2 linked regions of the Coturnix japonica genome follow. The protein of the gene in region 2 interacts with the protein of the main gene of each other region in a biochemical or structural test. Links are inferred from orthologs where the notes say so. Each region holds a gene or a part of one and is shown on either strand. Other genes may lie near its edges.

What was found. The genes of interacting proteins can lie anywhere in the genome.
Region 1: the proteins of TOPBP1 (region 2) and ATRIP form a complex in vitro, tested with the Homo sapiens proteins (2 studies listed by BioGRID). The link is inferred for Coturnix japonica from reciprocal best matches to the Homo sapiens genes TOPBP1 and ATRIP.

Annotation. Positions count from the first base shown.
Region 1 is NC_029527.1:2,066,442-2,072,528, reverse strand, and holds the start of ATRIP (ATR-interacting protein), read left to right. Parts: upstream 1-1,411; 5' UTR 1,412-1,814; coding exon 1,815-2,420; intron 2,421-3,143; coding exon 3,144-3,314; intron 3,315-3,453; coding exon 3,454-3,569; intron 3,570-3,901; coding exon 3,902-4,065; intron 4,066-5,019; coding exon 5,020-5,115; intron 5,116-5,622; coding exon 5,623-5,788; intron 5,789-6,087. Other genes in the region: protein BTG1-like, read right to left, coding at 746-1,095, 1,187-1,304. UniProt on the Homo sapiens protein: Required for checkpoint signaling after DNA damage. Required for ATR expression, possibly by stabilizing the protein.
Region 2 is NC_029517.1:39,236,371-39,244,157, forward strand, and holds the start of TOPBP1 (DNA topoisomerase 2-binding protein 1), read right to left. Parts: upstream 4,345-7,787; 5' UTR 4,306-4,344; intron 4,285-4,305; exon of another isoform or gene 3,900-4,284; 5' UTR 3,893-3,899; coding exon 3,812-3,892; intron 3,326-3,811; coding exon 3,191-3,325; intron 2,865-3,190; coding exon 2,721-2,864; intron 1,953-2,720; coding exon 1,771-1,952; intron 1,628-1,770; coding exon 1,434-1,627; intron 570-1,433; coding exon 390-569; intron 1-389. UniProt on the Homo sapiens protein: Scaffold protein that acts as a key protein-protein adapter in DNA replication and DNA repair. Composed of multiple BRCT domains, which specifically recognize and bind phosphorylated proteins, bringing proteins together into functional combinations.

The DNA of each region.
Region 1 (6,087 bases), on a different chromosome or scaffold from region 2:
GTGCGGTAACGACTAGTGAGAGCCATGGGAAGCTTTGAGAGCAACGTCTCAAAAGGAAAAGGAGAAAAATCACAAAACAGAGACCGGACAACAATGAAAACCAAAAGTCCAAAGCACTTTGAGCAAGTCTTTATTATTCTACTCGGCCAACTAGAAAGAAGATAGACAAATCCCCCAACCCCTGTCAGAACATTGGGGCGTGATGAAACGCGGCTCCAAATGAACACGTGCCTTGAAAAAGGTAAAAAATACTTGAGTGATTTGTGCCCTGCAGCCAAACTGGAATGACCCTGAGAAAAGTCTGTGCAGACAAGTCAGTGGAGATCGATGTGCAGCTCCTGGCTTCTGTGTTAATCCCCTTTGTGTTATTGCTTGCAAATGGAGTTTGGTTTTGTTGTTTTATTTCAAAAACAAAGTGTTCATCTGGACTACAAATCCACCATGAGTCGCTACAACGTGGCTTTTTATTACAAATACCAGAATCGCCTCGAAAATAGAAATGTGTAAAACAATCAGCCGTCTGTACAGTGCATTTACAGTACATGGTCCAGAGGAACACGCGGATCCAAGACCCGCTTTAGCCCTTGGCCACACAGCATTGGCAGTACGATACAACCCGAATGCCACAGGGTGAAACTACCATTAACTACTCGTTAAAAAAAACACCAATCGAGAGACCTCGGTTACAATGGAGTTTATCACACAACTGGGATACGTACAATAGCTGTACAAGAAACAGCAGCTTCTAACTAGAAACAGTCATCATGTTGTAACTCTCGGACGGGCTGGACCGGCCAGTTCTCCACTTCTTACAGCTGTTCCTGCTCTCCAGGGGTTTACTCGCCTTGGCCCCGGGCTGTGGATTCTCATAGAGGACGCAGATGGAGCCGTCCTCTCCTATCCGATACGACACCTCGAAAGGGTCGACCCAAAGAGTCAATTCGTTGGGCAAGAGCTGGAACAGTCTCTCGTGGCTCAGTCCGATGGTCGCCGCCGCTTTGCCGATCAGCGGGTCCATCTGGTGGTTGATCCTAATGCACCGATACCCGGAGCCTTTGGTGGGCGCCGTGGGGAACCAGTGGTGCCTGTAGTGTTCTACGGGAGGGAACAAAGAGCGGCGTTAGTGTCAGCGTTACAGCCCGTCCGTGCGCCGCGGGCTCGGGCCGGGCCGTGTCCCCCCGCTCACCGCGCAGCGCCTCCTGCAGGCGCTCCCTGAAGCACCGCAGCTGCTCGTCACCGATCCCGCCGGCGGCCCGCAGGAGCCGGGTGACGAACGCCGCGGCCGTCGAGATCTCGGTTCTCATGGCCGCTCGGCTGCCGCTCGTCGCCGTTCCGGCCCGGCCCGCCGCTACCGCACCGCACCGCTCCGCCCGGGACAACGCTCCGGCCAATGGCGGCGTCGCGCAGCGACACGTCACAATGACGCGTCCCGCCCCGCGCCCCCCTGCGACGGCAGAACAGGATCCCCATTGGTCGAGATGGGCGAGGGGCGGGGCTTACGGGACACCGCGAGCGGCCATTGGGCGGCGCAGGAGACGGGCCGTGTTTGTTTTGCTGCTGAGCGGCGCGGTGACACGGAGTAACGGGACGGGGTGTGTAACCATGGTGACAGCTTGGGGCCTTGAGCGGCCGCCCGACTGCTGCTGCTATTGGGAACCGGAATCACACCAACACTATCCAGGCTCCGAGCTGTCCCCGTCAGGGCTGTGCGTCCATGTTAGTGCGGCGTTACGGGAGCTCACAGCTGGGGAACGTCACGGAGCAGCGGCAACAAGTGACGTAGTATTTCCGTATATCGAGTATTGCCGCACGGCATGGCGCGGTGTGACGTCACTACGTCAGCGTGGCGTCACTACGTCGGTGTGACGTCACTCATCCCACCGCCCTGCCCATCCAATCAGCGAGCTGCTCACAGCGCGTCACGCGGCGACCAATGGCGGCGGCGCTTGACCCTCGGGGGCCGCCTTAGGTGCGGTCTGCCATTGGCCGGGCAGGAGGAGCTCTCGCCGCTGATTGGCCACGGTTCGTCGCGCGGGTTCCCGTCCGTCGCGCGGCGTAGCGGTGCTGCCGCCATGTCGTTGCAGCTGCCGTTCGTTCCGCGGAAGCGCAGCGGTACCGACATGTGCGGGCCGGGCCGGGCGGCGGGACCCGCTGCGGACAGTGCGCTGCGGAACGGGATCCCGCCCAGCAAACGGCACAAGGGGCCGCCGGGGAGCGGGGCGGAGGAAGATCCTTTCGGGGACAACGACGACTTCACGGCGGACGATCTGGAGGAGATCGACACCATCGCTTCCCAGGCGCTGTGTGAGCCGCTGTGTCCGGGTGTCACCGCGCCGGGCCCGGCCCCGCACAGCGCTCAGCTCACAGCGCCCTTCCAGCTGCAGGTGCTGCGGGCACAGCACGACGATACACGGAGGAAGGTCAGAGCACATGGGAATATAAGGGGGGATCGGCCGCGGTGCTGGGCCGGGAGGGTCGGGATCCGCGCTGGGAAAGGCTCTGAGTGGGAACGGCACAATGAGTTTGCGGGGTGTGGTGCCACCATTGCCCAGCAGCGGGTGCTCATCTGTCGGCTTTCATCTGTCCTGTCAAACCCGGAGCAGCGCTGTGTCCTTCATGGTTTGAAAGAAGAGCATTTAAGGGGATGGGGTCACTGAGCCTTGTGGAAAGGCACCGCTTAGACCACACCATCATCACCTTAAAGGCCCTTTAAGGCCTTTACTTTAAGGCCCTCCAACCTTCTGCAGTGTGCAGGGACATCACAGCTCTATCGGTGCTCACAGCCCGCTGGGTGTCTGCAGGGATGAGGCACCACCACCTCTCTGGGTAACCTGTGCCAGTGCCTAACCACCATCACTGCAATAACTTTATGTCCATTCTAAATCCCCCCTCCTGTAGCTGGAAACCATCTCCCTCAAAAAAGGGATGGAAGCAGTGCAGAAAAGCCCACCGTCAGACACCAAAACACTGTAATTCTATTAGAGAATGTCACGGAGCCTGATTTAATAAGGAAAAGAAATAGAAGCCAGACTGTGGGATATCTAAACTGAGCTGTAGCAACACACTCCATCTTTGACCACATAGAGAGCAATACAGATACTAAATGCTGAATGTGCTGCTTAATGGAATTCATCTCTTTGCAGCTGAAAGAAATGCAGGATGAAATTCTTACTAAAAATGGAGAAATCAAAGTTCTGCGTGACTGGATGCAGCAGATGGAGCGTGAGATGGAGGAGCAGAAGAGGTCGTACGTGCTGTTGGAACAGCAGCAATCTCAGGCCCTTGGTGAAAAAGAAAGAGAGTTCTCCAAAAAGGTTTGTAGCTCAGTCAGTCACCTCAACACAACACACAGAAAGAAGCCTGCAACCTTGAGATCTTACAGACATTTGCTTTGCAGTTGGATTAACACTTGCCTATTCTGTAACAGTAAAACCATCTCCTTAATTCTTCCAGTTACTGTCACTGCAGTCAGAGTTGCAGTTCAAAGATGCAGAAATGAATGAATTAAGAACGCGACTTCAGAACTGTGAAAGAAATAAGCACGTCACTCAGACGGTTGTGCCACAAAGGTGTGTATGGGGGTTTGGGGAAATAACCTGTGTTTCTTTTTGTTCACACTTGAATTAGGACAGATGTTTCCTGTCTCTGTGTGACTCTTAGGTCCATTTCCTTGAGAAAATACAACCAAAACCATTCTTTTGACCTAAACAGATGCTGGGACAGAAATGCAGGGGATGTAGAGTGAAGTACCTCTTTAACATCAGTACCAAGAAAGCTATTAAATAGATCTGTAATAAAATAGAAATAGATCTTTAATAAAATGCTCCCAAAACAGACATTGGTTCATTGGAGCTGGAGGGGAATTTGTTGGTATCTTGTTGTTTTCGTTTATTTTTTGTAGCCCTAAAAAGAACGTTGCAATCCAGATGAAATCAGAAGGGTGTCCTCCGCAGCCTGGAAAAAGGTCTTTTCCTACAAAAGAGTCTTTCAATGCTGAAACTGCTGCCAGACCCTCTTCTTCTTCTTCAGGAAACTGGTTTGCACAGACAGTTTCCAGCAAGGAAGGTAAACATGAACACAACTTGCAGTATTTTTAGCTGCTTGTGAACATTCTGCCTTAGATTCAGGTTTTGGCCCAGTGTGACCCAGCAGTTCCAGTAAGGTCAGGGCAGGAACAAGGGTGGTTCTTTCGGTATGACATTGCTTACATTCCATACAGCTCCACCTCAGGTTTGCAGGAGGATGGCTTTGCAGTGAGCTGAATGCCAGGGGAGCAGGGTGGAGGTGTCTGCTGGCTTTGGTGAGAAACTTTCATTTATATGAGCTGCAGGATCCGAACTGTTCTCTGTGTTTCTCACTCAAGAAGGAACAGGAAATAATTTGCTTATTTCTTGAATAGGTCTACCAGTCAGCTAATGCGTTTTTTATACTCCTGAGGTTTGGGTTTTGATAACCGTTCTCTGTTTTTGGTATTTTATTTTAAATGGTGCATGTTCAGCCATGTTAAACGAGCAGCTGCAGGGCTTCACTCGTTTCCTCCTTTCTGCGTTGAACGGTAAATCTCATACAACTGTACCTTCAAATTCATTGAGTAAAGCCTGGGAAACATATGTATGCATTTACTGTAATACGAAATAAAAACTGCTTTTTATAGCAGCCAATTACTGTGTTGAGACAGTACATTGCCAGTAGGAAAGAATGGGAGAAATTGGGAGGAGGTGTCCCTGCCTGTAGCAGAGGGTTGGAACTAGATGATCTTAAAGGTCTTCCAACCCAAACCAATGGAACATCTGAGGTGTTTCTGTCGGCTGCAGTATTCTATCAGAAACTGTCTGGGCCACGTGTAACAGCAACCTTAGAAGAGTTCCTGTAGTTACTTTTTCAACTCAATAGTGTTTGACACTGCGTCTGTGTTTGTACCTCACAACAGCTATGGCTAATTGAAGGTGTGTAGATGACAGGTGCAGATGTATAAGCAATTATTTCTCGTATTTGAAACATATTCTCTCTTTGTTTTAGACAGTAAGATGCCCCATCCTGAGTTCTTAGCCATGAAGCAAGAAGCAATGGGAAAAAATGGTTCCTGCAATTCTGTACGCCAACAAAACATTCAAGGTAATGTATTTCTGGTAATACAGAAATGGATCAAGATGTAGATCGAGAGGCATCTTTCTACCAGGCTTGGCTGTATTAAGATACTGTGCTGTCTGTTGTGAGGAGAGCAGGGAAAATGTCTATTTATTGTTTCTAAAAGTGAAAAGAGCACATCAGCACTTAGTGTTCAACACGTTATTTCCAGTTCAGAATTGTATCACATGATTTTAATGTCCAGACTGGAACATGGATGTCAAGGCACCAGGATGACTGTGTTTTAATAATCACTTGGATTGAGATGGCTTGCTTATAAAGGGACTGTAGTTGAGATCTCTCTAAATATACCTTGATTCACATTTAAATTGTGTTCTGTGAGGTTTTACGAAGCGATGCATTTCAGATATTATTTTCTTCCTGTATTCTGTCTCGTAAGAGAAAGGAAAATTGATGATGGGGAAAAAATGATTTTTGAGGTTGAGATCACTATTGGTGAGGTAAATCTATTGAAATACTTTGCTGTTGTTGCAGGGGATGGAAAAGCCACTTCAAAGACAATCTCTCCAGGTTCTGCCTTACTGAGCGCCCTGCTGAAGCAGCCCCTTGTCTCTGGGTCCCTGCTGGGACTTTGCCATCTTCTCAGCAGCAACGCTGAGGCTCTGCCAGGAGCTGTGCTGCAGCCCGACCTTGTGGAGACGTAAGGACTGTGTTGAAATGCAACTGATGTGTTCCCAGTATTGTGGCATACTCTGAGAAAGGCGTTCTGTGCAGGACACCTCACTGCGTGTGTTCAGTGCCTTTTGGCTGAGGCCATTTGAGGCAAAACTCGGAACATCCTTCTGCATTTTGGTCATCCATCTTTGGTTATTGTAGGTACTGAACACAGGAGAAACACTAAAATGGAAAGCAGGTTAATTACGTATTAGGGGAAGGCACAGAAATTAGGAAAACTTAGAAGTGACTATGAACTGCTGCCCTTTTTAAGGATATATTTGT
Region 2 (7,787 bases):
CACCTTTCAGCTATTCCTACAGAATAAGCAAAGACAAATACATGAAAAACAGTATTTGTTTTCCCTCCAGGGGTATGATTTAATTCACAACAGACACTAGCCCTGTACTTTTAGGACTTAACAATACAAACCAGTGATTCTTAAGCAGATAAGTACACCTAAATTAGATTAACTATTAAACTTCTATTCATATTCAAGTCCATATTCATTGCAATACCTAACATACCTGAAAGTGATCAGTGGCAGTTTTTTGCATAAGCAAAACACAAACCAAATTTCAAAATATGATCACTACAAAAATAGAGAGCACTCTACTAATTTCAAACAGTTCCTCCTTCTTACTCTTCCAAATACCTTACCTGAAGTGCATCTTAAAAGGTCTTACTTACTGTCAAGCTTGCTGGCATTGTTGGTGGGTGTTGAGGTACTGGGTGTACAACTTAGTTTTGATCCAGTTTCTATTCTATACATTGTCTCATCTTGACAGAAGCCCTTCTCAATGCTGTCTGAAAACCACTGCACAGGCACACAGTGGACATTCCATTTTCTGGCACATTCGTACTTCTGACCTTTCAAGGGTAAATAAAATGTAAAAAATGTATGTTACTCAAAGACATTAAAATCTGAAAGCTCAAATAACTGATTTTGAGGTGCAAGTTGGACTATACAGAACTCATCTAATGAGCTGCTATTTACTTGCCTTTATTTAAAGTCAGAGTAAAATCTCCTTGACAGTGAGTTCATGGGTACTGCATCACAGGGCACCAAAACCTTATAAAGCAGTAAAGCATGAAGAAGTCCTCTGCAGATCTTTAATCAAGGGTTCCCAGCACTAACAGTGTTGCTAACAGTATGTCATCTTGACATACACTTTTGATAAATTCCTCCTACAAGAAGTAGTCAGTTTTATCTCGCTCTATCAACTGAATAAACTGTAATACAGAGCCGGTACCAGCACATTCAAAAATCAGACTTATCTGTCTCATCACAGAAATTTCATTGTACCAGCTTAAAAAATATGAAACTTCTTTCTTCATTCAAAGAAAGTACAAACCTTTCCCCCTTCCACAAGGGAAGAAAGCTTTCATCTTACAGGGAGTTCAGAAGGTATAAAGGATTGGTCAGTTAAAAAAATTTTAAAAATCATTAATTCACTATCAGATTCCAAGCAGCATATAAATGAAGTCTTATCATACTCTCCCCAAAACATAGTTTTTCTTCATTCATCCTCTCCCTCTACAATTCTCCCTTTTTCTTCTGCTCTTCTTCAAGTCTCTGTCTTCTCTTGTTCACCTTTCTTTCTTCTACCTTCAAAGCAAGGTAAGAGTGCCCCATGCCACTCCTCCCATCAACACCACTTCTCTACACAGAAGCAGCAAGAGCAACACTACTTCAAGTCAAGGAGGAAAAATAATGCATGCTGCAAGTTTTACCTTTTGGCTCTTGAACTATGAGGTGAGTACATTCATTCATCTTGAGTTGCCCTGAATAGCGCCCACCATGTTCAGCCGTGAGGCGCTGGACTTCTTTCCTGTCTGAACTACTTAAGCCAGTTACACAAATTGTACAGCCAAGAAACACAGGACAAGCATAATCTTCCATGTTGACATCAGTGTATCTCATCATGCTAAAAGAACGAAAGGGGGGAAAAAATATGCATTTTTGTCTCAGTAAAATCAATTAGAAAAAGAAAGAAGCGTGTATAACCAGAAGAGCCCAACACTAGAGCCCAACACAAACTAAGTTTTACTTTGTTTCTGTTTTCATTACCTTTGCTGAGATTTATCCCACAGTGCCTTAACCCAAGAAGGAAGCAAAATAGGTTTTTTCAGAGAAGCAGCTACTAAGTATTTCTTGCTGCCAACTTCTCCTGCTATGAGATGAGTTACTGACATATTGAGGTCTCTGTACACACGTCCACCCATCATCTGTACATATTCATGAACTTCCTCCTGAGTAGAGAAATTACAAAAAAAAATCACCAAAAGAAGAAAAGATAAATTAGGAGCTTACATCACACTCAAAAATAAATCAGTTTCAATTTTCAGTGGTTTCTTCTGAAAACTAATAAAAAATATCAATTCCATTTTATTTGCATGGATGGCAAACAAAAACATAACCTTAAGTAAAGATGATATTACCATCAGTAATAAGATTTATTGATGGCTGTTCTTTCAGGTAGCATACATAAGTTGTTGGAGTGTACCAAAAGAAAACCTTAGCATAACTCACGTAAAGCACAGCTGGCTGGATAATTAATGTTTACCATAGACTGAAAAGCCAGAAATGTAACATGTTGTCTTCAGCATGATAGCTGACCAACACATACATCCATTAGCCAATAAATAAATCCTCAAATGTTAATGACATTACAGTGTTACATATGCTTATATGATATAGGCAAATGTGCACATATAGATACATCACTACATACGTGCTTGTATATCACACATTATAAAAATGCTTCCTTTCTCTCTATACAATTCTTTACATAAATGATGACTACCCTACAAACCATACAAAGACTATGCACAGTTACACTTGCTACTTGGTGTAGGGAACCTGCTTTGGCAGGGGGGTTGGACTCAATGATCTAGAGGTCCCTTCCAACCCCTACAATTCTGTGATTCTGTGAAATACTACAACTGATGCCATAGCAATAAATGAAGCACATGCCACAGAAACACCTGCTCAACCATCCACTGTGTACAATACATTACCCGGACATCTTTATCTAAGGTGGTACAGGATATCGTTACATCAGCCATGGTCATGTTATACACGGGATGCTCAGCTCTTGGGACACATCTCTGGGACTGCATGCAGTACAGGACTACCTGTGGTCCAACAATTCTACAACCGAGCTGCAATTAAATAACATGGAAAACAAACAAAAGAAAGAGAATGAGCAGAAGGTACACTGGAGCAAGGAAGGTTTTCTTTGTCCCTGAGGAACCCTTGGTAAAAACAGTACATCCTATACATTCCACTTACTTCATGATAATCCTTACACTTTACTAGCTGTCTTCACCACTAAACACAGAGTGCAGCAAAGCTCTAAAGATTTCATTGTGAATACTGCATACTACTATACTTAATGCAAGAAGAAAAACAAAGGAGTCTGAGAACATCCATAAGAGCTTCTAGAAAAAAAAAGAGTATAGCTGGTATAAGTTGATGTGTAGCATACCTTTTTAAGATGATTGAAAGCAACACCAGTAAAAGGATCACAAATGTAAAGGGATTTATCATTTTCTTTTATATCAAGCACTGCTCCTTCTTCAAGAATGTGGAGATGTTCTTCTGACTGAAATTCTTTTATAGACTGCAGGAAAACAATGCATACAACCACATTTACTTAACTGATAAACCACAAATAGTTAATACTGTGGATGTTACACAAGCACATCTATTTGAAACAGCCCACAACAGAGCTAAGGTATCTAAAGAGCCCCCGTCACCTCCCAGCTTCACTCAGTATTTAGACTTAAACACTACATACAAACTGAACGTGTCATACAGTGCCTTCAGCTCCCCCAAACCTCTCCAGGTGGGGAAAAGCTCCATATTCTTCCTATTAAGTATTAAGGCAGATAAGCAACCACCACATGGACCTTCCGGGCCTACCTGGCATTTTGTTCAATATCAGCAAGTTTTGACAGAGTTACTTGTTCACCTTGGTCAATATAATTACTGTGGAATACTTATGTTAAGGAAATGCAGCTTTATTCTTAGATGTACACACGCAGGCTGCATCTACCACAGAGATCACCTCAGTGTTACACCCAGCAGGCCCACAGCTCGCACCTACCTCCAAAGCTTTCAAGAAATACTCCGAGCTCCCAGAAGACTTTACGAATTTCACCAAGAACAGCTCCTTGCTGCCCTTCATCCTTTAACTGAGAAGCAAACCCCGGTGAGATCCCCCACACCGAGCCCACCGGGAAGCCCCCACCAAGCGGGGGAGTCCCTACGGAGCCTCTCCTTACACTGAAGCTCAGCCACCACCCTAAACTCACAATGCAAAGCTCCCACTCTCTCGCCAACCCTAACACCGCTATGTACTCGGTGCTGCCGGTGGGACACTGCCCCAACCACGCTCCCTGACACCCCACACAGCACCCACCCCCACCACGGCAGGCGGGAAAACGCCGACTCGCACTGCGCATACGCGGAGGCCAGGGGGCGTGGAGCTGTGTGGAGAGTAATAGTTGGCAGGCGGATGCCCCCTCACGCTCCTCCTTCCCTGTCATGAGTCTCAATTGGCGTCCGCTCTTTAGTTAAGGCTTATTTTTGTTTCCGTACTGCCTGTAAGGGCGGCGACAGGAAGTATTGCTTGCGAATGGCAGCTGGAAGCGTTACCGTTTGGCCACGAGATGGCACCCGTCACCTAAGAACTGAGCAGGTTGAGGGTTTGCTCAGAAGTCGGCTTCCCGCTATGGGGGCAGATGTTAAACGTAATAAAAACTTAACTTCGTAGGATCTGAGTGAGTTAACGGACAACCTGAGAAATAGCAGTCTTCCCATCTCTAGTAATGCACAAAAACAAATGAAATCTCCATCAAAATTTAGGGGAGTAAACTCTTCAAAAGGGCTGACAATAGCAGGACACAGGGAAATGGTTGTAAGTTAAAAGAGGGAAGATTTAGGTTGGATGTTAGGGGGAAGTTCTTCACTAGGAGAGTGGTTAGGCCCTGTAACAGGCTGCCCAGGGAGGTTGTGGATGCCCCGTCCTTGGGGTGTTCAGATCCAGGTTGGACGGGGGCCTGGCAACCTGATCTAGATCAAATGGTATGTATTGTGGCCCTGCCAGGGCACGGGGGTTGGGAACTACATGATCCTTTATGAGGTTCCCTTCCCAGACTCAGGTCAGTCTGTGATCTGTGAAAATGCGTGTCTGTTGAATAGGAGGTACATTAAGGGACAGGCAGCCTCCTTCTTGGCCACTGCAGGGCACTGGTGTCCCTGCCTAATTGCTTAGGGGTTGGAACAGATTGTATGCTGAAAAGGTCCCTTACCAGCCCACAACCATTCAGTGACTCTATAAAGTGACTAACTTCTTGATAAGCTGCTGGTCTGTTAGGTCAAGATCTCTTAATTTCAGCTCTGTGCTAGGGAAACTGCTTGTCCCTTGAAAAGATCCATGTTGTAGGAGACAACGCTGCAAAGAATTGGGGCTCTTCTTGTTACATACCTCTCAGAAAACCTTGTCAGTGCACACTTGCACATTTGTTTTCTTGCTCTTTGCTCGTGCAAAGTAATTCTTCAAGGAGAAAGTTACTGCTGTTACTGCATGTAGCTTCCTGTCTCTTTAAAAAAGGAATGCAAATGTTTGTCTTTCTATACCGAAATTACCCAATTTCTGCTTATAGTGGTGGTAGTAATTGCTGCATGTGTCTTAAAAAAAAACCAACTTCTGAAAGTGTAGTATGGCTTTATGTTCCCCATGTGGAAGTAGTCCAAAAGTAGTGCTTAATGTGACAAAACCACAATAACCAGTGCCTGATAAGCAAATATTTCCCTATTTCACTTCCTGGCTTTCCAAAAGCACTTGGCCAACGTAACATTCTTTGAGACTCTTTGAACTATTTATTTGTAAAACTTATTTTAAAGACAGGCTTTCCAGAGCACCTGGGAAACAGATGTTACCCAACTGGATAAAAACAGCCATTAAAATATTCACTTTTATATTCCTATCTCCAGAGTTGTCCAAAACCAAAAGTATTAGGAAATGATATAAGAGTGCTATACAAACATGATCTAAAACAATGTGTATTGTGACAAAAGTATGAACTTAATTACCTGAGTACCCCCTTTATTTCACGCTTTCTGTGTTCAGGCTCTCTGAAAGATCTGAACTTTAAGGGAAAGCCCAGTTATAGTTGAGCATCAGCCTTGCTAAATATGGAAGAATTATGGAAGCTTTTGCTTTGAATAAAACTCCCACAAAGCAGGAAGAAAAAAAACCACAGTAATTGCCCCCAAATTATGCCTTCTTCAGAAGCAAGAGACATGCTATATGTTTTTGGCTCTGTGGATGAGTCCTTTTACTCTGTGTGTGTGTTTGTTGTGAAAAATGTCTATAGCGTATTCTTATCTTCAAAAAGATCTGGGTCAAACATTTTCACACCTTTAATGCTGTGGTGTTTTTGCAGCCATTACAGTTGCATTAGTTACACATTTTAAAGTTGTTATTTTACATAGACTAGAAAAATGGCAAACAAAATCACTGCACTAAGAAGCCCAAAGGAGCCCTATTGACAGCAGGACAGGGGAAATGGTTTTAATTTGAAAGGGAAGATTTAGGCTGGATGTGTAGGGAAGAGTTCTTGTATAAGGAGAGTAGTGAGGTCCTAGACAGGCTACCCAGAGTAGGTTGTGGATGCCTTCCGTTCCACTAAGAGGTTGTTCAATGGCCAGGTTAGATGCGGGCCGCTGGGCAGACCTGATTCTAGTAGACATCGGAAGTTTGGTGCGCCCTGCCAGGTCAGGGAGGTTGGAACTTCATTTGAGTCCTTGAGGTCCCTTCCAACCTGGGACATTATGTGATTCTGTGATTTTGTGATTATCTGCTCTTGATCTAACCTGGTTAAAGTTCTGTCTATAGTACTTTATTTTTAAAATATTCTAAACACATTGATTTTACTGATCAATGATTGACCATTGTATTGTTGTTAATACAAGTAGTATATAAAACCACAGTTTATTAAAAGAGCATTCTGAAATATCAAGCCCTTGATTAACTGAGATGGCAACACTTAGTAGCTCAGACTGTGTTAGATTATTAGAAGTAAGATCTGAAAGGCTGGTAGTCCTTTCACATACACACAGGAAAATATACCTTGAATACTGGCAGTTACTTTCAACAATTTCATAGTTTTCCCCTGACAATTGTATAAGTTTTTCATCACACAAACCTCAGTAATTACTGTTACTTACAGAGTTACACACAACCAGGCTAATAAAAGATGGGACTGAGATGGAGTTTAAATGAATGAAATATCTTGTGTAAAATACGCTGAAGAGATGTTTCCAAAGAGCGATACCATTTTCTAATCTCCAGTTCACTAAAAGATCAGTTTGTGAAATTCCGCATAGGTTAGGGACCTCTCAGCTTAGGTATGTTTGTGGTCTCCATAGCACATAACTATGCTTCTACATACACATACACACACAAAAAAAGCTTTTTTTTCCCCATTTTTTTTGGCCACAGAATCCTATGTTCCCATATCTGCATAGCTAATTTGATACATCCATTACATCTTGATGTCACAAAAATAAAACAGCTTTTGCGTGTGTACATCGTTGCGCCGAGTGACCTTTCGCCAGATGCACGTACAAGCAATCCAGAAAGAGATTTCCCAGGCTCTTTGTCTAGACTTGAGATTCAGAAAAGTCAATTCCAGTTGTTGTCTCTTTGTTTTGCTTTGTTTTGTAAGGCACAGCTTACAGCGCAGCAGAAACTTCTTGCTCTCCAGTAGACTGTGTGTAGGTGGAACTAGCCCGTTCGGGTGTGTCGGCATAGAAAACCGGACAGTATTTAGAGAAGTGGGATGCAATCTGCTTTCGGAAAAAGCTACGAAGATACTTCCTAACTTTTCTCCAGCAAAGGCATAAATCACAGGATTGATGCAGCAGTGGATCATTGAAAATTGTTTCTGTCACTTGGTTGCTTTGTGCAGTTGGCCACTGATTTCACAACTATTGATGGAAAATGAATCTTGGAAGTCACGCAAGAGAATACAAATGTTATTACGGTGCCCAGAAAAAAAAGTATACATCATGAT